2 linked regions of the Caenorhabditis elegans genome follow. The protein of the gene in region 1 interacts with the protein of each later gene in a pairwise test. Each region holds a gene or a part of one and is shown on either strand. Other genes may lie near its edges. The genes, in order: hst-2 and mig-15.

Region 1 (15,638 bases):
TTCAGAATAGTGTTTGAATGTCAACGTTGTTAATAACCAGTCTGGAATTAATGTTGAATGTTGAAATTGTATTGTAACTCTGGAGTGTGTAGTAAAGTATTAGCCGTACACATATTTGGAACTGAAAGGCTTCTCGAACCGTTCTTCTTCAAAATATACTTTAAAACAAGTATTTTGGAGTATAAGGTCTACAATTTGTGGATCGCTGTTTTCAAATATTCCAAGTGAAATCTAAAAAGCAATTCAAAATTTTCTTTAAAAACCACCCGTAATAAATATTTTTTAAGACTAAGCCAATATATGAAAAAAGAAATAATGTAATTAAATACTTATTTTTTATAATCTTTACTGATTTTTGTCTGTGTTTTATACGTGTAACACAAAAAGTGAACACTGAAACAGTAATTTCTCAAACATCGAAACATCACTCTCGAAGAACTAAGTTCTTGTCCCACTTCCTTTTTGGCATTTCCAAGTAATCGAAAGTAGCCGTAGTGGCAGGAACTATCCACAGCTATTATCACCGATCATCATCAAAAAGGGGGTTCTCTGGCGTTTTTTGTGTCCTCAAGTCAATTTCATTTTTCTGCACGCTTCTCTGTTCACACTGCGAACCTAAAGTTCGCATACTCTTTCGTTTGGTTTTTTTACTTCGCGCCCGCGCCAGTTTACACTTTTACTTGCTGGTTTCATATATCGTTCAGGATTACCGAAAACGAAGACGTCGACGACGACGGAGAAGAAAAAGGTGAAAGAAGAGACGAAGGAATTGAGTGATGGCAACTGATTGTCGTTGACATTGCTACTAGCGAATGTTCTATTACTGCTTTTTGATTGAAACAAAAAAATCAGGAAACCGGTTAAAAACAACAACAGTTGGCTTTCTGAAATTGATAAAAACGGTTTAGGTTGGGAAGCATGGAAATTATTACACTTCAAAGAGTTCAGGAACAACAAATTGAACATTTGTTTAAAGCAAACTCCAAACATTTCTGTTTGTTCAAAATATGATATTCCTAAGAATCAAAAAACATTTCTGAAGTTAAAAATGTTGATTTTTTATCTTTATTCAAAAAAAGTGTATTTAATCAAATTGTTAAAAACTGCTTGAGACCGATTTTCAAAATCATTGAAAACTCATTGCATTTTTTTTCTTTCCCCTTAGTTTTGACGAACTGATCTCAATTTTTTCCTTCGACTTTTTTCAGTAATTACGGTAGAAACCGACTAGATTTCAAAAATGATAAGCAGTAATTGGGAAAGTTGTCGCGGCTACCCTCCGAAGGTGATGCGTGCATTGGAGAGACAACGAGTGTAAGAGACCGACGCAAAAAAAATCCACAAAGTTTAAGAAGGCGTGGCAAACTTCCTTCTTCCGTTTGATGGTAAGTATAAATAGGTGACTGACCAATTGTAGAACCACATTCCGGTGCAATGGAAGACAAGGCAAAGCTTGTACAGGCGTCCGAACTCAAAAAGTTTGCCTTCTTCGGTAAGAATCATACGGTTTCTGATCATCTAATAGTTTTTATTGTTTTCAGGAGTGGCAGTCTCCACTGTTGCTACTTTGATAGCAATTATTGCTGTCCCACTTCTTTGCCTTCATATGCAAACTGTTCATTCTGGTCTTTCCGACGAGCTTCTTTTCTGCAAATCAAAGAATGTTGACATGAGAAGCGAAATCGAGAAGCTTTCCGTTATTCGTGACAACGGAAGACAGAAGCGTCAAACTCCACAAACTTGCTGTTCATGCGGTATTGGAGAAACTGGACCAGCTGGAGTTCCAGGACAAGAAGGAGCCCCTGGAAATGACGGAAAAGCTGGACAACCAGGAGCACCAGGAGCTGACGCTGACGAGCAAGGTTTTCATTACAAGGCTCCAGAATTCTGCTTCGACTGCCCAGCTGGACCACCAGGAGCCGTTGGAGGACCAGGACCAAAGGGACCACCAGGACCACCAGGAGGTCCAGGAGAGCTTGGAGGACCAGGACGTGGAGGAAACCGCGGACCACCAGGACCACGTGGACCACCAGGAGAGGCTGGACCAGACGGAGAGGGAGGACGTCCAGGACAAGCCGGACAAACTCGCTCAGCTCCATCTCCACCAGGACAACCAGGACAACCAGGAGAACCAGGATCGCCAGGAGAGCCAGGACCAGATGGACGTGCTGGACATCCAGGACGTAACGGACCACCAGGACCACCAGGAGACAATGGAGGTCAAGGAGAGCCAGGAAAGGACGGAGAAGATGGAGAGAACGGAGCTGCTGGAGCCGCTGGACCAAAGGGATCTTGCGACCACTGCCCACCACCACGCACTGCCCCAGGATATTAATTCACTTCTCTCTAATTTTAGTGAATCTCATTCTAATAAAAAATTGCCTCAATTACTCATCTTACATCATTCGCATAATGAAATAATGGCTCTATATTGAGTATATAACTCCCACGAGTAGTTCGCGTAAAGATTCGCAAATGGTTCGCATATACAAAAAAGTGCCTCTGAAAGATTATTTTCAGTTAAAAATAGAGCATAAATATATAGATTTTTATCCTGAAAAATAACTGAACTACTAACAAGAGAGGCTATCACAAAATTCAATGTGAACAGATTTTAACACAGAGCAAATAGGACTCGATTTGAGACAGAAATGTATTTCTACTCTTGATAACTTAACATAATGTTAGTAGAAACCATTGTTTGGTAGGCCTCAAATGGCAAATTATATATGTAGCTAAAACAGTCAGCACCAGAAGCACATTTACTGACGAGTTCATGACGAACAAAGTTTCAAAAAATTCTCGTTAATTTTTTGTGGTACATTTTATAAAGAAACGGGTTACAAAACGGAAACGATAGTATGGTTTTTCACAGCGTTTTTTTTCTATATATACTTTTTTTTCTATATATATATACATGTTGTTACAAACAAGCGAACATCGTTATACATCAATTGTTTAATTTTGTGAAAATTTTAACAATATATTTATTCTCACACGGACCATTCTCAAACCTGAAAATGTTAAATATAGATTTTCAAAATTGCTGCACGATGTTGTTTAGACGTCATTTTCCTTGGCACTTAAAATGATAAAGTAAGAATGATAATGATTAACCAGTAACAAGATATGCAGCTTTCATACATGTTTCTCATTCTCTATCAGAGTTATGAATTGAATATTTAGTATTTTTCTTAATTTCGCGCGTTTCAGTGATTGTTTTCCTAAATGATCTTGCCCAAGTATCAATTTTCTATATATTTTCTCTCAGCCAAAAAATGAAATTCCATGATACTCAGAAAAATGATACGCAGTAATTGTGAGATGGCGACACAAACCTGCCACTAAAGAGAACGCGTCGCGAAGAGACAAAGGTTGCAAAGTGATTGCAGAAAAAAATCCACAAGTTTAAGAAGGCGTGGCAAAACTTCCTTGTTCCGTTAGGTAGTAAGTATAAAAGAACGGCTTGGAGATATTGAATAACACCGAATAGTGCAATGGAAGACAAAGCAAAGTTTGCGTACGCAGCCGACCTTAAAAAGTTTGCTTTCTTTGGAGTTGCGGTCTCAACCGTAGCTACATTGATTGCAATCATTGCTATTCCACTTTTCTGTGTTCATATGCAATCCGTTACATCTGGCCTTTCTGAAGAGCTTCTCTTCTGCAAGTCTAAGAATGTGTATATTAAGTGAGTTTTTTTCTATACATTTCTGTAATAAATTGACTGTTGAAATTTACAGGGGAGAAATCGAACAACTTTCTGTTACTCGTGAAGCTGGAAGACAGAAACGTCAAACTCCACAAACTTGCTGTTCATGCGGTATTGGAGAAACTGGACCAGCTGGAGTTCCAGGACAAGAAGGAGCCCCTGGAAATGACGGAAAAGCTGGACAACCAGGAGCACCAGGAGCTGACGCTGATGAGCAAGGTTTCCATTACAAGGCTCCAGAGTTTTGCTTCGACTGCCCAGCTGGACCACCAGGAGCCGTTGGAGGACCAGGACCAAAGGGACCACCAGGACCACCAGGAGGTCCAGGAGAGCTTGGAGGACCAGGACGTGGAGGAAACCGCGGACCACCAGGACCACGTGGGCCACCAGGAGAGGCCGGACCAGACGGAGAAGGAGGACGTCCAGGACAAGCCGGACAAACTCGCTCAGCTCCATCTCCACCAGGACAACCAGGACAACCAGGAGAACCAGGATCGCCAGGAGAGCCAGGACCAGATGGACGTGCTGGACATCCAGGACGTAACGGACCACCAGGACCACCAGGAGACAATGGAGGTCAAGGAGAGCCAGGAAAGGACGGAGAAGATGGAGAGAACGGAGCTGCTGGAGCCGCTGGACCAAAGGGATCTTGCGATCACTGCCCACCTCCACGCACTGCCCCAGGATATTAATAGGTTTTTCATAGTGTTATTAGACGTTTTAATAAAAAGTTTTTATATTTATTTGGCTTCTCATTAAAACATATTTACAATACACAACGATCGATGAAATCATTGAATACCCAATAACGTTGTGTTACTGATCAGCTCAAACGTCTCGAGCTCTCATTATCTGTCCACCGGGCAGCCAGTACTTGTAGTAGACATATAATTCAAAGACAGAAAGAAGCACTGAAACAATCACAAATGTTAACTTTGCGTGAACGTTTCTTACCAATTATATAAGAACAAATTGCAAGCATGCTGTCGCCACTTGCATTCCAATATCCATAATCCTTGTTTCCGCGAGACATTCGTTGTTCTTCAAACCAACTGTAATTTAATATAACAATATATTGTGTTAATTGGATGTTTCCACTTACACAGGAACTTGCGTCGTAGCAAAAATGGCCGCAACCAACATCAAAGGTGTCATTGTAGCAGTGAAGACCAAATGGACAAAAGCGGACCACCGGATATGAAGTGCTTTTACTGCAAAAAATCCTGTCCATGTTGCAATCTATAAAATGATTTTAATCGAAATTTCTACTTCGTTGTCTAGAACATACCAAATTGTTTAACGGAATCCAAATATTGATTCCATTTTCACAGTTTATTCTGGTGTAAAATGTTGAATAGTAGAGACCTAATGTAAAACACAAAACTCCGCCAACCTGAAACTTGAAGTGAACCTTTAAAGAATAATGCAGCATAAGTCCTTACAAATGCTAAAAGGGCGAAAATGAAGTTTATATAAACGCTATAGCAGAAAAACGTCCAAATTCCTTCTGGAACGCTCAACAGATTCCGTTCTTGAACAATCTAAAACATCAAATCACAGTATTATGAAAAAAAGGGGTATACCTAAATGTTCGTATTAGATTTTTAACAAAATTGAAAAATTCAAAATTTTAGACTAACAAAAATTTCGTCCAAAAAGTTTCTCTGTTAGGCAGATTCAAGTTAATATGTATGTATAATTTGATAACACATTAAAACGTCAACGTTTTCCGTACGAAATTATTAAAAAGCGATATTTAACAAATGTAGCTATGAATTTTGACCTTGAACTTACTGTCATTTCTAATATATTTAACCAAAAAATAAAGTAAATTTGGCAATTTTCCGAAACCTTAGTTCATTTTTTTTTGTTTGAATTTTTCGATGTGTTAAAAAAACTAGTTCACCTTTGAAGATCATTATTATAATTCACTCAATTTTCCCGTCATTATTATAATTGAAAAAGTGAAATATTTTAATTGTGGTGCAACTTTCATTCCACTTTTTTTTCATTTCATTTTCATCAGTTTTAATTACTCATTTCCTTACTCACCCTATCTACTGCCAGCGAGAATGCTGTAAATCTATTGTTGAATCTCTTCCATACTGACTTGATTGGCACTAAAATACAACAAAAGCAGTGACGTATTGGTTTACAAACTGCGGAACATCGACTCATGGGAAGAATGGAGTAAAAATATTGAAGAAATCGATGGAGGACGAGACAAAAATGCTCTTATCATTGTCGTAAATGTAGTCTCTCGACACACAACATAATTCTGTTCATGCTCTCGTTTATTTTATTTTTTTCTTGTCTAGACGTTCTGTATTACATTTTTCGCAAGTTATGACATGTACACAAACTTATTTTTATTCAAATCATACACAACATTTATTATACGTAAAAACTAACCAGATGGCATAGTGAATTGCTGCAATAGATCGCTCGACCCGTTTGGTTTTGTTTTGGGATTGTTGGAAAAATTGAAGAAAAATTGAAGATGAAGATGAAAAAGAAGCACACAACGCAATGATGAGAGATGGGGAAAAGCACCAGAAAAAAAAAGTACAAGCGTAGTTTTTTCAGAGAAGAAATAATTACATATGGGAATAAAACAATTAATAAAATCTGATATAGATGCAAGTTACACGAAAAGCTAAGCGAGTTTAAGATTTTTAATTGAGGAAAGTGAATAGAGGAAGGAATTATGATGGTTTAATTTTCTCAAAGTGGTATTGGAGCGGAAGCTTGACAAGATCGTCTGCTTTTGAGATTCCATTTGTGGCTTTTCTGAAATGTCATTCATTGAACTACTGATTTGATTAGTTTTTTGGTGTTTAAAAAATACGGCATAAAAATAGAAATGCAGTAGATTTGCCACAGACGTATTTTCTGTCAAGATCCATAAAGTGCAAAATGCAAAAAAAAACATTATGCGCATGAACGCGAATCAACGGTGAATCAATTTGGCCTCGAACAGAACTTTTGTCTAGGTGAATCCCGATAAAATTCAAGTTATTAAGTACAAAACTTTTTGGAGTATACGAGATCTAATAAAATTAATAAACTAGTTAAGAAACAAGATCAAAAACCAGTAAAGATGCGTATAACTTTTTTTCTGAGTAGTTTGTCATAGTCTATGTATCAACTAAAATAAGAATTGCTAATGAAACACGACATTCTCTTTTGCTCTCGCGACGTACTTGATTGAACGCCTTTTGCTCTTTTCTCTTTTTTCGTGCATACTTATTTTGGTGAAATAAATTAAGCTAATAAATGAGCCACTGGTCGGGCGAATGTAATGAGGGATCAGAAAAGGGAAAACCGAAATTAAAATGACATGAAAAATTAAATAAAGAAGAGAAGTTCACATATTCACGCATTTGAATTGTCAATATTTTGAATGAAAACTCACTTGAAAACCGCGTCGAATAAATTGTTGATAAAATCATAAAATTCTCGTTCCATTTTATAAACTTCATCACGACGGATCATCGAAAGAGTCTGATCGTTTGGTGGGATCTTTTTCTTTGTGTATCGTAAGTGGGCTCTGTTGGCTGTAAGGATATTTTTACATTAAAAATCAAATGAAAGCACCTAAATATAATAGTTGACAGTCACAAAACTAATAGGAATTTAAATTGGAAAAGCTGACCAAAATTTTCAAGTATGTACAGGTTCCTGATGAAAAATGCATCATCATACACTCATTCTCTTTTCTCATCGAAGGAAATTTATGTTTTTATTTTACACAAATCTGATCACATTAGTTATCGAATTTCCAAGTGGGTTCATTTTTTGTTTATTTTTCCCGATGTAAAAACTTAAAAAAAAAATTTCTGCAACGCATAATTGGTCCTTCAATCATACGTTTATTATAATAATATATGCTCGCTGACGTGGTACGATTATTTCTTAGTATACAATTCGGAGGACTTTTTTGTTCGAAAAATCTGCTATACATCTCAGAGAAAACGTTCAAAGTTATTTTTTCTTTGACTGATGGTATATTATTTGATTAAAAGAAAAAACACGCTTACCATCAAGACTATCAAAATGTCCTAGAGCACCTTTGAAAAAGTCGGGGACCGTTACTTCCAGAAGTGCTATCATATCACGCATTCTTGATGTTGTCCCAACTAACAAATACTTTTCCAGCACATTTTGCTTTGCAACTCTTAATGCTTCGGGATTCCCGACTTCTCTGAAAATAATACATATTTATCCGAAAACTTAAGATACCAACTTACGTGCAAAAATGATAGTGTCCGCAAAAATACGGAATCTGGATCCACATTTGTTTCATGTCGCAGTCTTTACCACCTCGAGAATAGCATTCGTCGAATGTCTGAAAATGAAACATTTCACAGGTTTCTGTAAAATTGAGAATATCTCTGGTAGTAAATTACTATTTTTATGGTTTTGAACCTTAATATTCTACCGATAAAAAACTGCATTTATTTCAAAATTAGCAGTGATTCAATTACGCTCAAATAGTGTTTCAAAGTAATACAAGAGCGAAACAATTATTTTAGAACTGTACTTATTTTTCAAGCAAAGTTGATTCTAAAAAAATCATATCACAATATTCTCCGTGTTTAAATTCTTCAATTTTGTTATATTTTTTAAACTTAAAGCACTAAAAAAATAAATTCTCACCTCATTGTTTCCTGCACGACTTCTCTTCAAGCCAATTCTGTAGTTGTCACCGTATCGAAGGAAATAGTAATGGGAAAGTAGACGTTCTAATGGCTCACGAATAATGTTGATGTATATGGGATTGGCAATACCGAATCTGAAATTATGAACTCATATTTTCAGATTATGATTTTCAAATGTTTTTTGAAAATAAGACAACTTATGAATGAATATAAGTGAATATTGACCGTTGAAAATCGATAAATGCAACGTGTCCATGATAGAATGCCGGCAGCCGCTCCGTCCATGTTGTAATATTATTTACAAAGGTGTATTGATCAGGAAGGCTCATTACCTAAAAAATCGTTAAAAATGTGGAACACTAAATAATATATTTTAGTACCTGTCGATTTTTTGTCATATTCACGTGTAGTACACTAAATCCATTTTCTTTGTATAAATCATACGCAATTGCATTTGTGAACGTTGTTGAGCCAGTTTTGGGTATCTGCAAAGGAGTATGAATTAATTATAATTTTGTCCACAAGAAATGCAAACTCACTCGATTATAAATTACAATTTTACTAGAAGTTGGCCATACATTTGCTTTTGGCTTTGAATTCAACTTTAGTAACAATAAAATAAGTATAAATACAGAAATCCCAGCAAAATATAGAACTTTTCGCTTTTTCCACAGCATTTTAGATGAAACAGTTCAAAAAATGGCTGGTGCACGGTTTGTGCGTCTTCCTATCGCTTGCTGACGTAGACACCGATGTCTGCGTCTCTAATGATATGTGTGTTCTTTTTGCTGACGCACTTGTCGATAGTTATCTAATGTATCGACAGGCAGATAGTAGTAAAATGTAAAATGATTTATTTTTCACGATTAATGTTGAAGAAAAATTATAATTCACAGAAAAAAATAAATTTGAATTAAGAACTTTGTCACAGGGTGCTCGATTGAAAAATCACTTCTGGCAGATTTGGAAAGAGGAGATTGACATGGAAAGATGAGTGAAAATGAGTAAAACATGAAGAAAACGTGTATAATTAAAATGAACGGGTATCTGCAAGATGCAGTTGGTGTTGCTGCTCCTTATTGGTTTTCGAGAAACTTGAGATACTGAAATTAAATTAATATTGTTGTATACAAAACTGATTTTCGAAGGTGTCAAAAAATTTTTTTTTGAGTATTATATGGTACCTTTTTTTTTCGGAAGTTCATGATTAAAAATATTACCTGCATGAAGAGAAGTGCATTTACTTTAAAAATGTCCAAGTCTTTGGCATAATTTCCAGGTGTCGAGGTTTGTGGGATATTAAAGACTAAAAACGTTCATTATTTTCAGTGTAAAATTGTAAAAATTATGCACCTGAAATATTCTCCAAAACCAATATTCCTTTGATGAAACCTGTAGCTCTTCGCAATTTGTTGAGACGCACCGGTGAACCATCAAATTCCGAGACGAATTTTATGAAAAGTTCTGCAAATTTTGATAGTTTCAAGGAACCTCACAGAAAGCAGTTTCTATACCGTTGAAAAATTTCAAATGTTTTGACATCCTCTTCAAATCACGTTTGATTTTCGACGTGCCACATGGTTCTTTTACTGGGATTTCTGGCTCAAGCATTTCTCCTGTGCTCTTAACAAGTTCTTCGAACTTATTCTTTGCGTGCTCACGAATTTCTTCTATATTGCCATCGGATCTATCGGAAAGAACTGAAAAATGCATTACATTATAAGCTTAAAATCTCAACTCTAGTTAATTTTTATTCAATAGCCGCCGTTTATAAATAATAAGGCTCACATCGTATTGTTGGCTTATTTTATGCTGTCATGTCTTTTTAATAAATTTGTTATGTTATCAGTGGGTACACGGTCCACTCTTATGGAAAAAAAATCTAATGGTTTCTACCTGCTAAAACGCCAATGAATTTTTCTGACGTTTTCAACATATGCTATCTTTTGAAAACTATTCAAGACTTGCCTTCAATTGAAGCCAGGAAGAAGCCAATTTTTAGGTACCGATGAAACTTGTCCAGTTGACAAGGAACGGGATTCGGCGGTGTCAATCGTACGGGTTCTATCAAATTCTGGTCTTCATCTTCTTCTTCTTCATCATCCACCTCATGAATATCAATAATTTCTTCTAGATCTTGTTCCAATTGGACACCTTGTTCTACTGGTGGGCTTGGTCCTGCAGCGTGTTCCATGTTTCTATCAAGTGGAATACTTCTGACAGAATACCCTCGATACCGTATCATCTCCATGTGACGGTCTGAAATTTTCACCGTTAGATTAAGAAACATGTATTGAAGTAAGCGCGAGAGTTGTATGTCAAAGTTTACGTATAGATTGACAAAATTATACTTTTAATAAAGTTGAAAGCTCTTTGTTAGGCAACAAAGGCAACAACAGCCCTAGCGCTCACCAGCTTGCTCTCTGTTCGTTGCTCCTGCCGACGACGTCGTGGCAGCCATTTTGGCTTATATCCTCCTGAAAAGAAAAATAGCGTGTGTGGAGAGTAAACGAATACGAAAGCAATTGGCGGATCGATACGTACTGGTGTGCTCTCACGTATGTCGAAGTGAGGGAATGAATTAGAAGACTGATAAGGTGTGGGGAAGGTGGGAACACAGAGGAGAGAGTAACAGTGGTACCTGGGCTTTCAAGGTGTCAATTAACATCGATAATGTGTTATTTATCAACTTCATTATCGAAAATAAATTGTTAATAGCGCGAAAAACTCTAGTCATTTCACCTCAACAAAGAAAATCTACCGTAGCATGGCACCGAGCCGTCGAGACAATAGTTTTCATGACTGTTCATGGAGTTTTGAAAATAAAATACACAACATTGCCGGAGAAACTAAAACATTGCAGCTATGCAAGTAGAACGTAGCTAATGAAGAAGACTCACATCATCTTCACCTTATTACGGACAGGAGGAACACATTATGGTCTCAAATGATTGTTCAAGATAGTCATAAATCATATTCAATTGAAGTCAACCTAGTATTGATCGAATATTGAATAAAAATCAATTTTTGACAGGTTTTTCGAAATATCCAGGGGACCATTTTTTACGTATAAACACGATAACAACAATTCTAACTGACAAACGTAAAAGATAATTAAAGAAATGGCATAACCGTATTTTACAACTGTTTTTTCGATTTAAACGCATATTAATTTTAGATAAGATAAAATTGGTTTTGCTTTTAAAAATGGTCCTTTTTTAGATTTGATTATGGGTTGATGCCAATTGCCAAAAGTGCCCATTGTTGAATTTTTTCACAATCAATTGTATAAATTAATGACGATAAGCCTAAATGACGCTATTTCTTCTAAGTTTTCTTTAAACATTTGTCAAATTATTAAACTGTCGCCCTTCCCTGATTTGAATTACAATTTGTAAATTCCCTAAAAACAGCAGATTCCAAACTTCATCCAATGTCATGAACTAGTTAATAGTTTCCTTTCATAACTGTCCAATAATATTTAATAGATTGAAATTTTCATACTTTTAAATAGACATTTTAACATTTTTTAATATGTCGATATAAATCATTTGAAACATTTTCGAATGTTCGTAGTACTGCAAATCGTGTATAACTGTTCAGTATAGTAGTACATATTTGTTCATTTCATTGACCTCTTCTTACTCTTTGTTTATTTTGCATCCGCAGTCTATTATTCTTTTCGGGCACTGATCTCAAAATGTCAAGTTTATTGGAATCACGAGAAGGAAAAGGCAAAAATGGTAGTTAAAACAGAGATGGAACACCGTATCAAAGGAAAAAACTGGGCTGGGACAAAAAAATGTGGCAGAAGTGCGCTAAGTCGCGAGGGTGAATATGATGTAGCGCTATGGTGTACAACAAAAGAATTATTACTCAAATTTGCTCTTAGTCGGTCAGTGGGACAAAACGCTTTGTGACAAGTATTGGGGGACACACTCAATGATTACTAACTCGTTTACCCAACACCGCAACATTGAATTGAACGAGCTGCATGACCTTTATGAAATAAGGTACATGGGAAAGAGAAATGTGGGTGAACTCAAAAACAGTATGTCAATTGAATGAAAGCTGCATAAAGTGAATGTGCTGTCCGATCGCGCGGCGGTATAGGGCTGGGTAAACTCTGAGCCGTGAAACGAGAGGGGAATGTAAAGTGAGGATGAACCAGAAGGCTGGTGGTGAAAGGCGATCGGGAGGGCATAACACGGTAAAAACAGCTGCGTGACCCATAACACATGTGAACCAGAGAGAACGCCGCAGACCATCTGCTTGAAGCCCGAAAGTCTGCTGTTCGAAATAGAGAGAGGGGAAAATGAGGGAGAGACGCGGATAAGGATGATGCTTGGCGGAAATGTGCTTCGCGCATTTCGAGAGACAACAAATCGAGAAAATGCTACATATATACACGACTAAGGAACGGATGGTGCGTCAACGACATACAGAGAAAAGCAATCACAGCTAAGGGAATCTTCTCAAAATATCAATTTTCCTCCGAGATGTAGTCGAAATCAACACAATGCACGTCCCGGATGCAGAAATTCTTTCTGGAAATAAATATATTGAAGTGTGACGATATGATGGGAAAGCTAAAAATAATTGGATTTTTCAAAACTTGCACTTTGAGTTTTCTTATTTGTTGTTTGAAAAATCAAGAATGATGAAATTTCAAAGGTCTGAGAGGATGATTTCTTTACTTACATATTAAGTAAAATTTTGAAACTCTGTTTTGGGTTTACATAAATTAAAATTAAAGAGCTTCGAAAATTCAACTTTGAGAATAGGTGATATGATATCTCAAAGCTTGAAATGTTTTTGAGTAGTGATATAAAATAGTTTCAAACATGGACATTTTTGTTAAGACAAATTAAAACGCTCAGTTTATAAAACAGATAATTTAATACCTGCAAGTTGGGCATTGCGCACTTCCTCGATGGTACTCATATCGGTAGACGTTATCTATGTTCTGCCTTCCAATGAAAATTTGAGCTAGGCAACTTCTGCACCTGAAATAACACAACTAATTATATATTCAACTTGTCTTCGGTGCGGGAATCGCTTTTATTGCATGTTGAGATAATGGACACAGAGACAGCTGCATTTGTGAAAAGCGTGGTATCTTTCTTGAGGTCCGTACCCAGCTGTCATCTCTTAATGAAACCCCCTTGCTCCCCTATTTGGACCATAATTAGTCGGTCAGTATGGTAATTGACCTCAAGATCATGACTGGACACACACGTTCATTTCGACTCTGTTCTTGATTGATAGGAAAATATTTTACCATAAAGGACGACAAATGCAGTTCTCGCACGGTGGAGTGAATCGGGCGCCAATGTCGTGAAAGAAAACTCGTTGCTCCTGGCCATCGCAAGATCTTTCAATTTTCACCATATTTTCTTCAGTTCCACATGCAAAACATGGATCCTTTTCACTTGCTTTCACACGGTGTGTTACACGGGTGTTGCTTGCTATTCGTTGAATAAAATCCTAAAAAACTTTGATTCAAATTATCAGACCCGGTTGAAAAATCTGACCTCTTTCAGCTCCTCCATGAAAGTCAAGGGGACGTTTATATGAGGGGGAACAAAAATTGGTACTTCGAGTATCTCATTCAGTTGACGATAATAGTCTTGACGTAGGCTGAAAAAGATTTGTTTAAAAATATTGAACAAGTTAACTACATGTAATTTGTGAAAACTAAGAAAAAATGGAAAGTGTACTGTTCTGGTAGTACAAGGTTACTGTACAGTTCGTTTTCGGTTTTATAAATCTTTTGCTGTTTAAAACTTTTCAAAACTATTTTAAAAGTATTTTCAGGAAACTTATTTTAATGTTTCTTCAAAAGTTGATTTTGTTCTAACTAGGGAACCGTCACAAGGTGCCACTCGCTTTTTGGACGAAACATGTTTCATGTGAAAGCCCATGTTGAGAAACGGTAAAATGTCAATTTTTAGCTGCAAAATTTCAGAATTGAGCTCAGGGTGAGAATTAAAAGTTGCTCACATCAGTACTAACTGCGCACTCCCGCCGCAATATTAGCGTATCGGTGAGGGTTGTGGTAATTATTTTATGTGAAATATATAAATTTTTGTCCATTGAAACGTTTTTGCTACTTTGAACAAAGTTTAGAAGCTTTTTGAAAAAATTGTTTTTTTCAAAAGTGTTTTAAACTTTTACAGTTGATAGACAAGTGTTAAAAACCTAAAAATAACAACTTGCTTAATCCGGGTTTAGATTTTTTAACAGAAAAAGTTAACTGTTTACTTGCTTTTTTTGCGAATTGTACCTTAACTTTGAGCTATGATATCTCTGTGATAAGCCACGGTTTTGTTTAGCGATCAACTACAAAGTTGTAGCAAATTTTCTGTTTAACACTTTGTTAATTAGTTAATTTTAGGTATTAGTACCCCACGCAGAAAAAAGGGCATTCACGTTCATGGAATATACGATTAAAAGTTGTACAGTCTCACAGGTATGTTAGTCTGTGAAAATCACTGATAGCAAAAACTAATCAATTACTAAAATGTTAAACAGAAAATTTGCTACAACTTCGTAGTTGATCGCTAAACAAGACCGTAGCTCATCACAGAGATATCATAGCTCAAAGTTAAGGTACAATTCGCAAAAAAAGCAAGTAAACAGGTAACTTTTTCTGTTAAAAAATCTAAACCCGAATTCATCAAGTTGTTATTTTTAGGTTTTTAACACTTGTCTATCAACTGTAAAAATTTAAAACACTTTTGAAAAAAGTTTGAAAAAAAAATTTTTTTTTGGATTATTTTTTCACATTTCAGAATTTTCAAAAAAAAAATTTTTCAAAAAGCTTCTAAACTTTGTTCAAAGTAGCAAAAACGTTTCAATGGACAAAAAATTATATATTTCACATAAAATAACCACCACAACCCTCACCGATACGCTAATATTGCGGCGGGAGTGCGCAGTTAGTACTGATGTAAGCAACTTTTAATTCTCACCCTGAGCTCAATTCTGAAATTTTGCAGCTAAAAATTGACATTTTACCGTTTCTCAACATGGGCTTTCACATGAAACATGTTTCGTCCAAAAAGCGAGTGGCACCTTGTGACGGTTCCCTAGTAAGGCTAATATTTCTCTGGGATCTGTTTTTTTTTTTGAAATTTGACATTTTTTCTGAAACTTTTCTAGAATAGATCAATTGTATCTGATTTAAAAAATCCATATAAACGCTTACGTGATAGTGAACGGTGTTATATAGGCAGGGCGGAAGCTGACTTTCACAAAAATTGATC
Region 2 (15,638 bases), 780 kb from region 1:
TGGAATTTTCCAAAAATCAGATTGTCTGGCGTCAAAGTGACATTTTAAAAGAAAAATATATCATATGCACAGACCAAAGAAAAAGAGAACACGTGCACTGACCCAAGAAAAATAAAACATTTGCACTGACCAAAAAAAATTAACGTGCACTGACCAACGAAAAATAAAATATGTGCACTGACAAAATAAATAAATGTGCACTGTCCAAAAAAAAACATGTGCACTGACCAACAAAAAACATTTGCACTGACCAAAAAAAAATTAGCGTGCACAAAGCAAAAAAAAAGATGCCACATGCACTGATCAAAGAAAAATAAAACATTTGCAATGACTAAAAAAGATGGAACGTGCACTGACCAAAGAAAAAAGTGGGCTACCAGTCATACCGTTCCTTGACATTGACCACAGGGCACCACACAAATTGAACATCTCTTGATGCTCTTCACACCTTGACCACGAACTGAAAGGTGCCTAAACTATTGTCCATAACTTTTCCACATCCATCCTGGACTTCAGTCTGTGTTTCTTCTCGCATCTCCCAGAGTATTGAGACTCTCGATTCTTTATTCTTTTTCTCGACTTCCCAGAAGCCGCTCCTGTCCATTCGTTCGCGACTTCCGAATAAAATATTTCTGAAATCAATGACATATTGAGAAAATACGCTTGTTCAAGTAGATTTTTCTGGTGCTTCGAGATAACACTGTGAGGAACCATCAAACCGCTCTGGGAAAGCGGGTTTATTTTTGTACCTGTGAAGATAAACAATCATCCTTAATATTATGTACTACTGAAGACAGCTTTCCGTTTAGCCATTTGAGTAGATTTTTACATAAGTTATATGTGCAAGTTTGTGCAATTTTCGTGACGAATTCCAAAATTATCTGAATTTTGTAGACGTCAAGTTCTCTGTAAAAAGATCTGATAAACATCATTGTCATATTGTGAAAATGAAGACAGGGAAGATTTCAAGAAATTTAAATGTTATCTATGTTATAATTCCGCATTACATTGGAACTGCTAAAATTCACAACAAAATCACAAGCATTATGTTTCTAACGGTCTCTGGCCAAATTAAATTGTCGAAGTAATCTGAAACACAAACATGAGCAGCACACAAATGGGCGCGCAAGATAGACATACAGTCATTCTTCTTTGTAAGTCCTCAAAAGAACATTGTGCACCCCCTGTTAACCGTTCCTGTTTCTGAATTGCATTCGTTTTTTGTCTGTTTTAATCCGTCAGTCACTCCATCTATTTGTTGTTCATATCATGTTCTGAAGTTTTTTCTGTGTTTAATTATACATTTTCCATGTTTTATAACTTGAGATTAGGGCAGTTCATAAAAAGCAAAAGCCTGGTGAGCTTCAGTGTTTGAGACTCTTCTTTTTTTTTAACTATTTGAAACGTGCAAATCAAGCCTAACTTTCATTGCACTTCTTCAGTTTATTTGATTACTCTTAAATGAAAAAAAAGTAATTCGTTACATTTGAAAATGATGATGTATACCGATTCGAATCTAATCAGTTCAAATAAAAAACAATTATCAACATTACAATCACTGCAATGATTGGAGAAATGTGTACTTGAAATTTCAAAAAGATACTTCAGATGCTGATAAGCGAATAATGGGCATATCATGCTTTTGAAAACTATTTTTTGAAAACAAATTTTTTGATGATAATTTCAATAAGCAATACTACCTTTCTGCTTTGAACTGCTTCAAAAAAAAACTCTGGATCACGTTTTTGAAACATTGTTAGTGGTGCTCATAAATCAAGTGATCTACGCTATAATAAAATGCAAACAAACGTAATTACGGTGCCTGCCTACCTCTGACAAAGGTCATCGGGTTCCCACTACCGATTAACTTATTACTGCTAGATTGGTGTTCTCCGTGTATGCCTGCGTGTTTGTTATTGTTCTTCTACAAAATGAGTGTACCTGAGACGGATCAACTAGTATTATTACCATAACTACATACATTGTATTTACATTGTTCCCTCTCGAGTCGAACACTTTCCTTCTTATACCTCTCAACATCTTCTCACTTTTGCCATTTGTAGATGGCGTTTTTATTCAAAAGAGGGTAAACATGTTGATGTCTTGGTTCTTTGTGAGAGTTCCGATAAGGTCTAAACTTTCAACTTTTTATACAACCTGAATTAAATTGTTTCAGTTTTTGACGTATTGAATTCAGCCATCAATTCTTACAAGTTACAACAACAACACATATCTCTTTTTCTTCCTCACAAGCATTCTTTCCGTCTCTTCCTTTTACATGCTTGTCCAGCTTTCATGTCGTCCTGATGTCGTTCTGCTAATTGGCTTTTGCCCTACCACCCCCCAGACGCCTCTTTCTTCAAAAATAATTTGAAATTGTTTTGCAATCTTGTCTTACTGGGTGGTCTTTTTTTATTTTCTTGGTTTCAGACATGTTTTGTGCAGGTTCTCAACATCCACTTTGCAACAATGTATACTGTACCTATATTCATGAACCTCATAAAAATTTAACTCTTCTGATAATCCAATAATGTTATTTATCATTAAAATGTCGCTGTTCACTTAATAAGTTTAGTTGAATTTGGATACAAAATGGAATATTAAAAAACTAACGTTCACTGGGAACGTTACAGAAAACCACCACAGCAATCACTTCAAGTTTAAGTTGAAATTTTCAGTTGGAGCAACGGTTCTGAAAATTGATCAGTGCTCTTTGACAATATGCATGTTTAAAAGTTTTTTTTACCATTTTAGAACTGCACAAAAAATCTGCTATACTTTTGTTAGTAAAAGTTTATTTTCCCGCTTAGCTTTGCCCTATTTTTCCCATGCCGTGAATTTTTGATTACAAATTCTTATTGTTCGCCGCTAAAGAGCGAGAGCAACACCCTTCTCGCTCATTTCATGCGCGTTCGTTTTTAGTAAATCTTGAATAATTCATTTGATTCGAGAAAGAGCACATGATACACTGCTACGTTATACAATTTCTGTATAATGTCTAACGAGTTTATTGTTTATCCAAGGGGTGCGTTCGTTTTACACTCCCATTGCATACATAAACCTATTCAGGTTAACCTTTCTGAATCAAACTTTTCATCTTGTATATCTGATCTTTTAACTTGGTTTTTCAATAACCTATTCCTGCCCACAATGCACATTTTGGTTTTTATTTTGTATTACAAAAGTGTTCCTCTTCTGATGGTAAATAGGAAGGAATCACAAAGAGAAATGAGCCCCAAGGAGGCGACGGCACATTGAATGTATACACATTTTGCGTGAATTTATGCGAAAACGCTTTTTGACGCCAACGATGACAGATGCTGATTGGGGGAAAAAAGAGAAGAAGGGAAAGAAGAAAAGAGAGAAAGTGAGGTGTATAGATTTTATGAAGTCATTCCGTGCCACACACACGTCCATACGCTATGATTTTTCCAATAGGTCGGTCCCCTCAATGACTAGTGGTCCCTTTCCGATGTAACACCTCAGAAACCGGTCTAGCGTCTGGACTTGGATTAGATTTAATCCTGAATAAGATTCTCAATGAGTCTAGAATTGTTAAGCGATTAATAAAGAGTTAGAGTAACTTTAGCACAACATTTTTGTCCGGCTCTCAGTGTTCACCTAGTTAGGAACTTTCTACATCATGCAAAAATTTTAATTGAAAATTGATTGCTCGCTCATGCTCCATGCTCGTTGTGAATTTTGCAAAGTACCCGTTCCCACTATCCAATAAGTTTATTTATTCCATTTTCTCACAAACTGTATTAGCTTTGACTCATACCTCAAATATGTAGGATTTTGAATGAAAATGGCGTCAGGCCTACCATGATTATTCCAATTTTTATAGAAAGTAAAACCAAATTAATAAAATTTAATAAAAATATTATTTTTTGTCGTGTGTCAATGAAGTTATTCTATTCAAAATTTTTTTTATAAAAACCATTTATAATATCCATTTCTGCATCACTTCCTTACTTGTTTTTTTCCCAATAATAACTTTGTCAGTAAACTACCTAAGCCGCAGTTATCTGACATTTTGTTCTTATCACAGCCAGTTGTCTCCACGTAAATCCTTTTTTGTGCAAGAAAGTCTAACGAATAAGGGTATGTCATTTGATGAAAGTCATATTCAGTGTGATTCGAATCTTCAGTGAACACAATACAAGATTCCTAGTGCGTTCATCGTTTCTTGATGTTTTTTTTTAAAATTACACTTGAAAATTATCATCCAACACACTTTTGCTTTGATTATCTATGTTTTTAAAAAATTGAGACTTTATTTACGAGATGTGCAAATTTTTAAAATCTGCACACCAAAATATATATACTCTCAACCCGAAGTTGAAACAAAATACAAAGTTTTTATTTTTACTTCTATCATTATTGCTTCCAAGTCTCCGAGAAATTCTACAACCTGCAAATTAAAACTGTGGTTTGAACGACAACCCACACTACGAAGACTATCTTCTTTAAGTGAAAGACACACTTTAAACCGTGCAAGCTGAAATTAATACTTGATTATTGTTATCTTCAAAAAAAATAATTTGAAACTTCCAAACCTGAGTTTTTTTGATTTAAAGATTTCCCAGACTTGCATAATGTGTTGGTAATGTCATATGTCCCAGGCGGAATGATTCATTACCCTACCAACATCCTCCAGTTTCAATCTCATTATCTATCTTACTCTGATTCAGTTCTATGGTAAAAGAAGCTGTAAATCTTTTGATACCGGACACTGACACACGCCGGCTGTCTCTCTATCCTTCCTCCTTGGCGAGTTTCAAATTTATAACCGGTCAAGTCAGCGCTAACAAAGGAATGAGGAGTGAGTGCCACAAGGTGCCGAATGGGCTTGGAATGTAACCTTGGAAGGATGTTGTCAAAGATGGATGATCAGCCGAAAACCATCCGAGTGAGGAGATGAGGTTAAGAGCGGTTTTGCGGTCTCAAACACACGGTACACTTGTGAAACCTGACACCTATTTTATTTCGGCTACTTTTCCCCTTGTTTACTATTATATTGAAGTAAAACAGAAGTACTTTATTATTGTTTTGAAACCGTTTTACTCAAATTCGGGCATTTGCATCTGTTTGCAAAATTATGAACCTCCGTACTAAATATTTTATTATGAATTAACATTTTTCTGACCGCTTCATTGTAAGAAATAAGCTCCTATATAGAATATCACGGTATACTATGAGATAGGCATGACGTTTATAGTTTAGTTGTTTTGCTGTAAAAATATTTTTTCAAAGTTTGTGATCGTTTTGATAGTCGAAAAACTGTTCGAAATCTAAAATTTGTGCAGCTTGTTTGTGAAAAATAATTTCAAATTTCCGGCCGCAAATCAAAATGTATTAAATTTTGAACTTCCAAATAACTATTTTCAATTAATTAATAGTATTTTTTAATTTCAATTATTTGTATTTTTTTAGAAATCAATTACAGTAAAACACTAAAATTTCCAAGACTTTTTGATTTCCCGCTGTTTATATATGAGTGCATTCTTCTGAAATATAAAAAAAAAGATTTCAAGGAAAACTCTAAAACTGGTACCAACAAGCACGTTGATAGAAGTTTTTGGGGCCGCTGCTGTTGCTGTTCTGTTGTGTGAGTGCAGTGACACAAGGAGAATGATTTCGTTGTGATTCATAAAAGAAGCCGCCGATTCACCTCGTGCCCTTTCTCACAGATCTTTCCATTCTGTTTCTTGGAACTTTATTTCTCTCAATTCATTCTTGACAAATTTGATGATGGCTTTCTTAATTGTCTTCACCTTTGTGTATTTGTGTCTGCACCAGGTTTAATAGCGTATTTGGATGAGGCTGATGATTATCAAGGTTTTTCGATTAAATAATTTCCTAGTTCAATAATCTTCCTTTTTGCGAAAAAAAAACAATCGAGCATACAGTACTTAAAATCAATTTAAAAATATTTCAATGAATGTCATTTTATATGTTGTGAAACCTGCACTTATTTTCAAAATGAAGCTACAATAATTATTGAACTTCTACAATACTTTTACAATAATTCTTATACCACTGAAAAAAAGTGATGACACTATATAATACATCAGGGAAAGGGATTAACTTCAGTACTCTGTAGATCTCGGCTGCATATTTCTTAATTTTCTTAATTTTCATAGTCTATGTAGAGATGAAACACAGAATTATGTATATGTTTAAGAACATTAAATGGAGATGTAGTATGTTATGATTTCATTTTTCCTCACTTGTAAATTAGTTTTAAAAATTAGGAAATGTTATTCAGTTTATTTCGCTCTGACAAGTTACTTTGTTGTGAATTTACATATGAAAATATTTTCAAAACCATCATATCGCTTACTGAAAGGTTTACATTGACTAAGCTTTAGTTGTGATTTTTATTCAAATAATATAATATATGTTTTAGAATATTAACACAATTAAAACATGTAATATACAAATTTTAGCTAAACTTTTATTAGTCCGCCGCAAATAAGTTTAAAATCACGCGTAAGGGATCTAGAACTGAGATGTTAGTTCAGTTAAATTTTCAATATTTTCTAAATGGATGCAAGGATATAAAAGTGAAAGGTTGAAGTGCGGAGAGCAAGAAGCTATCCAATAGCTGCCTTCTCCGCGCAGCGGTGGCTATCCCGTCAATGTTCTATTGCTTCTGCTGCGGTCAGTCAATCATTGATTGTGCAGACAAAGGAAGAGTCGCAGAGCTCGGACTCACTTGCTGCACATTTTGGTTGTGTCCGACAGACAATTGGCGGAGCAAAATAGTGTAGCGGAAGCCTGAGCTGATTGAGAGGGTAAACGGGAGGAAGAGAGAAAAAGAGTCCCGTCCTTTCCGTCAGCCTCGCTCTCCCCGCATGTTCGCGCGATTCGGGGTGGTCTTCTCGTCCTCCTTCTTCTCCTGACGGACACAAACCTCCTCCTTCGCCACTTACTTGCTTTCTTCTCCGTCTCTTCCTCCTCCCGTTTCCTTCTGTTTCTTCTTTTCCAGGCTACATGTGCCTGAGTCTCTTCATCTCTTGGCAGGGTGTGCGGACCACTTTCTGGACACTCCGCGCGGACCGCACACTCTCTTTCGCCAAGCGTCCGGAATCACTCCGTTTTTTTCTAGTGAATTCTACCGTTTATCCCATTACGGTTCACTTTGTGAGCTTTTTTGTGCCTTCTTTTGCAACAAGACACAAATTTTTATTGTTAACATACAAAGTGTAGTTTCAATTTCAATAGGTCCACTTTCAAAATATTTTTTAAGTACGGAGGCTTTAATGAAAAATGCGTCGTGTGAGGTCTTTTTATTAAAAAAAAAGTACACTACAAAGTGTGCCAAAATGTTTTCAATAGCTTAGCCTCTGGTAACATGTGAATACTAACTTGTATACTTTTATATTTTCAAGCTCAGAAATAATAATTCCTAAGCCTAATGTACAAATAAATCTGATGTTTTTATTTTTATTTTTTAATCTACATTTCTCTGTGAAAAATCTATGAATATTTGTGAAATTATTTATGCTTACAAAAGTGTTGCTGATGCAATTTAAAAAAAACAAAACCAATGAATTACTTACTGTGAGAGTTTATAAAATTCTAAAAAAAAACCTGGTAGAACAACATCCTTTTTCTTTTTTCATTTGAATATGTCAAAAATGTTCGGGCAATTTTGTACGATTTTATGGTCATGCAACCGTCAGAAAATCATATATTTCCTCTAAGTAATTATTTTGTGACATTTGCTTTTAACCTATCACAACGACCACTCATTATTTTAATAATCTATCTCATTTAGACAGTAAGACAGCAACGCGTGCTGTGTGTTTTATTTTAATTTTCGTAAAATCTTTTTCTTTTTTTGGGCGTTGACTTTTAAGGAAATTTTGTAGTTATTTCAAAGTTCAGTGGTATATAATAACTGCAAAATCTGTAGAGAAAGAAAACTCTGATCTCCAAAAGTGGGATGTGACTATGTATCAGTTTCCGATGGACCAGACTCCGTAACCCAATATTCTGAATGAAGAGGACCTACGGAAGCTTTTATTTTCCACGTTATAGTTTTCAACATCTCTCGATGCTGTTAATATGCAAAGTATTCAATTTAAATTTAACAATTCACCGATATTTTTGCAAAAAAGTGTTTTAAGCGTTTAAAAAGTGTGACATGTTTCAAAAAAAATAATTAAATGTTGTTCAATCGTCACGTTTTCATAATGCCAAAAACTATGTTATGCTTGGCTTTTGCATTACTTACTCACAATAAGTCAAAAATCTGTCTTATCATAAAAAATGTCTTTTATATTTTCATGAACACAATATGGGTAAAAACACTCTTCCACTTCAGCATTCTTTTTAATACAATTTTTTGCTTCGACCTGAATAATTTTCAACTCCTTTCTCAATTCTTCCGCTCTTTTTGCAATTTTTTGCTGGCTACTCGTTGGCACTTCTTCTATTTTGTTGTCCAGCATCCTCGAGTTATTCGGTGAGGACATAGACCAGGAGGGACGCACAAATAATTTATTGAAGAGATGTACTTTCGCATTGTTGCTGCCACTCCTTTCACGTAATGCATTCGTTGGATGGATTTTTTCGCGTTTCTCGCTCTGCGTCATCATGTTCAATTTTCGTTCTCACGCTCCTGTTGTGCACTATACCGCTATTTTAAAGGTCGCTCTCGCGTACTTGATGGGAATATTACATTTCCAATAGACATTTTAAGGGTAAATTTGTAAATTCTTAAACGAAGGGCGTTTATTCTTCTGTGCTCTGTGAAGTTATTCAATGTTGAATTTTTTTTCGAACCAGAAAAATTCTCTTTAGTGATTTAGTACTAAATAGCAGTAATTTTTGTGTTCCCAAAAACAAAACTCAATTGAGAGTGATTTTTAAAAAAATTAGTTTTTGGTGTGCACACATTGAATACCTTAACAAAACCTTGTAAATTTTGTAGATTAAAATTTATATTTGTTATCACAACTACAAGGTATTCAAAGTTTTAAGTAATTTTAAAATTTTTTAAGCAAAAGTTGTTATTAGATTTTTCGAAATATTTTCAATGAGAAAGCTCAAATTTGTTTTAAAGTTCAATCAAAAATTCAATTTGCTCAAGGCTTATCCCCACAAGCAATCGAAATGAACATGTGATCTACGGAAAATGTTTGAGAAATTTTGCAAATATTAGGTTATCGGCGGATATTCACCAGAGTATATGTTTTGAAAAAGTAATTATATTCAGAATTATGGTACGAAATTTTAATTTACAAAGCTAGTATTTGTTGTGGTTGCTTGAAAAATCAGAACAAGCTTTACTATAAAAATAAGATTGTAAAATTTTCAATAAAAAAAAAGAGTATAGGTATTTTTAAAATGAAGTCTGTTATATGTGGAACAAAATTAAATGTCGGCAAACTTTCCTACAAATTTCAAAGGCCATTTTCAAAGTTTATTTAAAACAAAGAACTAACTATAAGAGCAGGTACGGTGTTTGTTTTTTTTGTTGGTCGTTCCATCATTCATAGTGACATGTAATTATCAGGTACACATTCATCTACACAATCACAATCCCCATTCTTCCATTCACTCTCATCCTTTCTCTCTTTAGGACCGGTCGCTTGTACCGCAAGTAGTGACGAATACTGGTGACCTTTTCCTATTCAATAGAATCGATAGGTTTTGAATTGAATACAAGAGAACCGTTCGGTTTTGCATGGTGAGAACAATCACAGAGCAGTAAAAAGTAGAGTTCACAATTCAAACTGTTTATCTGCCTTTTTTCCTCATCATTCTTTTCCGTTTTATTCACAAGTTCATTTAATTCTTTTCCGCATAAAATATCCGGATCATATGCGCGGAAACTTGTCTCTGACTAAAATCAATAATGATCATAAGATTGCAATATTAGCCGATTGTTTGCTCGCCTTATTCCCTCTGTCTCTCTACCTTTCCTTTAACTTTTCAATCACACCGGTGAGGGCTCCTCCAATAGTTTGCTCCCGGTTTTTCTTGAATTTCACTTTTTCCCAAACAAATTGATTCAATATCAACAGAGATATCGTTTTACTTTTTTTGCAATTGTTGTTCAGAAAAGTTTAGAGTGATACCAACAATTTTACAAGAGATATATGACAAGAGTGGACAGAAGAATCTCAAAGTTTGTGCACACAAACAGCTCCTCAGGGTGCTATTTCGTTCTTAGCATCGCCTTTTTCTTGAAAGTTACTCGTTTTTTGTGAGCATCTGCATTTTTATGGGTTACTCAAAATTTTAACAACCTTCTATTACATTTAAATTTATTTTTCAATATTAAAAAAAAAACACCAATTTTTAAAAGTGAGTAATGTAACATGAGGTATGGTAATTTTGAATTCACATTGCATGTTATCCTTTAATTTTTCTATTCCGCGAATAAATTGTTCACTGAATACATTTCTCCGTTTAAATTATTACTTGTCGTTTTGAAAAACAATAAGTAATCCAAACTGAAAGCTGTTTAGCCCCAAGCAAATTTATTCCAATTTTTCTGTTCAAGTATTTCAAACTTAACCTTTTTTGTGCGCCTCCAGGCTTTCAAATTGTTTGATATATTATTCTGGCACGAGAAGCAAATAGGAAAGAATGGGACTTCTAAAAAAAGTGGGTGTATGTTTTTAGGAAGGAAAAGCTGCTGTTTCTAATGTACTGCTTGTGGGCACATTGTTTGGCTCTTTGAGCCAAAGTGTTGATCTTTTTGGTCCCGAAGGAGTTTTTTGTATGCCCTTGGTTGATCAATTTATAGAGTTGAGAACTTTTTAGTAAGGAATAGTTTTCTTGGGAAGTTTAAGTATTGGTATTACATCGAAAATTGTATTTTGAATTGTAATTCAAAGAAGAGTCTTGAACTATAAAGATTTTTTTTCAATTCAAGCATTGAGAAATTTTACATCTATTATAATAGAGGATGTTATTTTCAAATCATTGAATCTTCATGTTTTGTCCCGTTGAGGTTCCCTTCTTCTCCGAGAATTCTCTCCAAAACCTGTAAGCTCAAGTAAAATCATAGCTCAGCTTCATTTTTTCTTTAAGATGTCAGCTGTCTTCACAATTTTTTTGAACTTTTTGTTATGCGGATTGAGGTGTTGAGGGACTGAAGAAACTCCTACGCCCTTTCTTCCCACAAGTTCTTCACAACAGCTGATAAGAAATGGGAATGATACAGAAAAAGTGAAAAAATGAAACAGTGAATATGATTTCATTTAGTACGAATGAATAAACTGATTTGCATTTTGTGATTCACTATCGTTTTGTAAGGTGAAAAATATTCAGAAAACCATCCATCCTCCGCTCTGTTCTTTTTCGAAGTGTTTTATCTGATTCCCTACTAATGCGGTGATAAAATCGGCACTATCACCATGTGTACCCCCAGTCCATCTCTGTTCCAAGACGCGCGTTGTTGGAGGTCATGGTTATCAAGTTGTGTTGATAAAAAGTAGACCAGTCTTTTATTCTTTATTTTCAATTCGCTCTTTTCTCCTATTTTTCGTGTCAAATGAAAGAACAAGATAAGGCGGATCGGAGAGGTTTTAGAACCAATGCATCGCCACTGGGTGTCATCACTAGACCTTTGGGAACGCTGACTAATTGCTGTTTCACTACACATACATACACACTCTGGCGCCACTGGTCGTTTTTCATTCTGTTTCTTATCTTCCTCGTCGACTTTTTTCTCCCTATTCTTCCATATTTTTTGTCCTACAGCTTTTCAACTTCCTCTATCTATGACTTTTCCCTTTTCTCCGATTCATCAGAAAATGTATTCTGAGCTCTTTTCCACTTTTCGTTCTCTTCCTTAAGCAAGAATGGCAAAGTAAAAAGGAAAAAAGAGCAAGAATAATTTTGACTCCTTCCTCTGGGCTACTTTTTGAGAGCGGCTGTAGTACACTTCTAGAACAACATGAGGTCAAGCTCATGAGAATAGGAGGACAAGGGAAAAGGGGATTTCCGATCTATTGTTATGTACCGACTCACGTTTTCTTTTTTTTTATAAGAGTGATTCAGACCGGATTTTTTAGTAAAATTGTATTTTTAGTTCAATGTTATACTAAAATAATTTTATATTATTGTCTATTTTAAAACGTAACTGTAAAAAATTCGCATTCATTGTTTTTCATTTGAAGAATGTCTCTGAAAATTCTTTAATTCAAAAATGGCAATATTCACATTGTTGTTTTTTGTCGAAAATAAAAAAAGTTGCGGGAACTTCGAAATGCGAATCAAAACTTGTCGTATTTTCTTGATCATTTTTACACACCATGTAATTATTTTGCTACTTCATATTTTAATTCAGTATCATAAGCTATAAAAATTAATGGTACTTGTGTATTATTTCCCCTTAATTTTTTGAAATTGATTATTAAATAAAAACGTGTGGAGTTTTTTTTTTCATTTTTAGGCATAGTAAATTACCATTTCTAAATTAATAAGCTACAAAGATATTCAGAAAAAGATATAGCTTATAAGCTGTCAAAGCAAAGCATTCGGTGCAGGACATGGAAAACTTTTAAATGAAAACACGTGTTTTGAAATTAACATATATTTCAAAATATGAATTCTACATCAGAACATGTTGTGAGCAATTCAAAATTTTCAATAAATAATAATTTTGGCAATAGATTCATGTTGTAAATTAAAAAAATCAGGCAATATATTAATATTTTATGGTTTTTTGATACAATCCTTTTTTTCTTCTGAAAAAATTGTTCCCGAAATGGATACTATGTAGGCTAAATAAAACGTTTCCACAAGAATAGTTTTTGTTTGTAATTTAAAACCTCTCCTTCTTTTTGCAACGTCTAAATAGGAAATATACCTCAATGTGCCATAACCTTGTTTTTTTTAGCCATGAGCGTCACTAGGATCTAGTGGTCGTAGAGACAAATACCATCGCTAAATCATTGTTAATCGGCCATTGGAGAGAATATTCGTTAAATTGATACATCTACCCCTTACTCGATCCCCCTTCATTTATTCACCATCATTAATATCTATTTAGAAGATAAGCATCATTTCATCTCAAATCAATATAATAAATGTAGATCACCAAACAGAGGCATCCCGCTATTCTCACTCAGTCGGCAGCTATATGTGATGCTGCTGTTGCCTTTTTGTGTGTCTTCTTTGGGAATGGACAGGCGCTGTTTCCATTCTTCTCCACCAGCGTCTTCTTCATTCTTCGTCCGTCCTTCATCATTATTCGGGAAAACGAGCGGGGGAATGAAATGGAGAGAGAGAGAAAGGCGGACGTCGGAGGCCTTCTTTTCGGAATCAAGGCGAATTTCTTGCGGCCTTCGATCATCCCTCACTCTCTTTCACAACCTTGTCTGCTTGACCCGATGATGTCTTTTGACCGCTTGTCAATTCAAATTTGCACGTCTTGATTGCTATCAGAAAAATTTAAAATTGCGAGCATTTTTAGGAAATTTTTTTTGCAGCAACAGAATATGAGTTATCCTATTCAACGGTTGTCTGAAACTTAAAAATTGATAATTCTTTCCAACATTATAAGAAAAATATATTGTTTTTGCAGAAAAAACACTTAAGACTTTTCTACTTTTTGAACACATTTAAACAATTTGTGCATTCTCATTTTTTTCCTCTATTTCCCGGCTGTGTAACAATGCTGGACGCGTCCGTCCTCCTTGTGCCGTCCACTGGTCTTTCTCCGACGTCTTTGATGATGCATTCCTTATCGATCTAATTTTCTTTATCACAACATGTGTTTTTTTTTCTGAAACAGAATGGTTGCTTCGTAATAATCTTGGAAACAATATTTTATTTTGAGTCTTTAGATGAAAACAATATATTTCTGTTTTTGTTACTTTTGATATAATCTGAAAATTTTTTTCTGTTTTGTTATACTTCCTGTTTCTTGTAATTTACAATAAGTGTTTTTTTTTTCAGATTCAAGTTAAATTCAAGGAGTCATTGTGTGGTTTAAGTGTCGGCTTGCTCCAAGCCGCTCACAGCACCCAAAACCATGTCGTCATCAGGACTCGACGAGATTGATTTGAATTCTCTAAGGGTGAGTATTCGTGACCACCCATACATCAAGTAGAATGCGCACAATGAATTTACTGAAAAATGTTAATTTTTCTATTCAGTCTGGGTTATCGCCCGTGAAATTAATGGTGTTTCTATAGAAAACTACCTTTTGAAGTTGAATGAAACAATCAATTTTTGTCAGCTTTAAATTTTTGTCTCAAAACTAAGAAAAAGTGTATTTCGCAACATTCACACACACACAGACGAAGTCCCACTTTCTTTCTTCGAGTGTGTGTGTGTGGTGTAACAATTTTAAAAAATCATGTTGCTCTCTTCTCAGAAATATTTACAGCTGAGTAGGGGAAAGAAAATGCGAAACTACACCAAACAACACGGAAATCACAATGATTTTTTTCAGGACCCGGCTGGAATCTTCGAGCTAATTGAGGTTGTTGGAAATGGAACTTACGGGCAAGTGTATAAGGGTCGACACGTTAAAACAGCGCAACTTGCTGCAATCAAAATTATGAATATCAACGAAGATGAAGAAGATGAAATTAAGTTAGAAATTAATATGCTAAAGAAGGTATGTGTTTTGGTTAAACAAAAATATTCCTTTCAAAATTCCCCAAATATGAGAAATGGAATTAAACCTATTTTCGAATTATTAAGTTGTCCAGAATTTTAAATCAGTTAAAAAGAAAAAAAGAAATATCTAATTTCTGATAAATACATTTATAAATTATATTTGTATGAATTGATGAAAACTTAAAAACGAAAGCTATTTTGAAGACAGTTTTGAAATAGTGTGAAAAAGAAATTTCAAAAAAAGGAGAACACATCGATGAGGTCTTACACGGAAGAATCAAATTGATTTGCAGCACTCCCACCACCGGAACGTAGCCACTTATTATGGTGCTTTCATCAAAAAGCTGCCCTCTTCGACCGGAAAACACGATCAATTATGGCTGGTAATGGAGTTTTGTGGAAGTGGTTCTATCACCGATCTTGTAAAAAACACAAAGGGAGGCTCTTTGAAAGAAGAATGGATTGCATATATTTGTAGAGAAATTTTGAGGGTTTGTCTTTACCGATTCTCAGACATTTTCAAATGTATTTCTTATAGGGACTTTACCACTTGCATCAAAGCAAAGTTATCCATCGTGACATAAAAGGTCAAAATGTGCTTCTTACGGACAGTGCTGAGGTGAAGCTGGTAGATTTCGGAGTATCTGCACAACTTGACAAGACAGTTGGAAGAAGAAACACATTTATTGGAACACCATACTGGATGGCTCCCGAAGTTATTGCATGTGATGAAAGCCCTGAAGCTACTTATGATTCACGTTCGGATTTATGGTCTTTGGGTAAGTAATGACGATGTGTAATATAAAAAGTTTTTATAAGGCTTGGTATCAGCATTTCACTGATTTAAACACTGAATTTAGCAACGCACCCAAAATATATTTCTCAATTTTATTAATTTAATTCTACTTACAATAATAATCAAATTGAGGTAAATTGCAGAAAACTAACGCTGATTTCCTTCTCTAGAAAGCTGACAACAAAAAAATATGGCTATCAGCTTACTATTTCGAGAAACTAATTTTTTGGAAAACTTTAGCTAA

Evidence for each region.
Region 2: the proteins of hst-2 (region 1) and mig-15 interact in a two-hybrid assay, tested with the Caenorhabditis elegans proteins (one large-scale study listed by BioGRID).

Annotation. Positions count from the first base shown.
Region 1 is NC_003284.9:11,198,042-11,213,679, forward strand, and holds hst-2 (Heparan sulfate 2-O-sulfotransferase hst-2), read right to left. Parts: upstream 9,115-15,638; 5' UTR 9,048-9,114; coding exon 8,910-9,047; intron 8,856-8,909; coding exon 8,751-8,855; intron 8,703-8,750; coding exon 8,596-8,702; intron 8,505-8,595; coding exon 8,369-8,504; intron 8,058-8,368; coding exon 7,960-8,057; intron 7,914-7,959; coding exon 7,750-7,913; intron 7,267-7,749; coding exon 7,125-7,266; intron 6,500-7,124; coding exon 6,415-6,499; 3' UTR 6,062-6,414; downstream 1-6,061. Other genes in the region: col-178 (Nematode cuticle collagen N-terminal domain-containing protein), read left to right, coding at 1,435-1,492, 1,542-2,335; col-179 (Nematode cuticle collagen N-terminal domain-containing protein), read left to right, coding at 3,498-3,688, 3,741-4,401; C34F6.11 (MARVEL domain-containing protein), read right to left, coding at 4,538-4,620, 4,664-4,761, 4,812-4,948, 4,998-5,102, 5,152-5,250, 5,762-5,887; C34F6.5 (NR LBD domain-containing protein), read right to left, coding at 9,447-9,473, 9,591-9,676, 9,724-9,834, 9,885-10,070, 10,339-10,629, 10,783-10,831; C34F6.7 (uncharacterized protein), read right to left, coding at 12,854-12,917, 13,275-13,376, 13,652-13,857, 13,905-14,010, 15,581-15,638. UniProt on the Caenorhabditis elegans protein: Catalyzes the transfer of sulfate to the C2-position of selected hexuronic acid residues within the maturing heparan sulfate (HS).
Region 2 is NC_003284.9:10,426,942-10,442,579, reverse strand, and holds the start of mig-15 (Serine/threonine-protein kinase mig-15), read left to right. Parts: upstream 1-14,005; coding exon 14,006-14,050; intron 14,051-14,428; coding exon 14,429-14,596; intron 14,597-14,891; coding exon 14,892-15,089; intron 15,090-15,136; coding exon 15,137-15,377; intron 15,378-15,638. UniProt on the Caenorhabditis elegans protein: Involved in cell migration and signal transduction. Important in several developmental processes including epidermal development, Q neuroblast migrations and muscle arm targeting.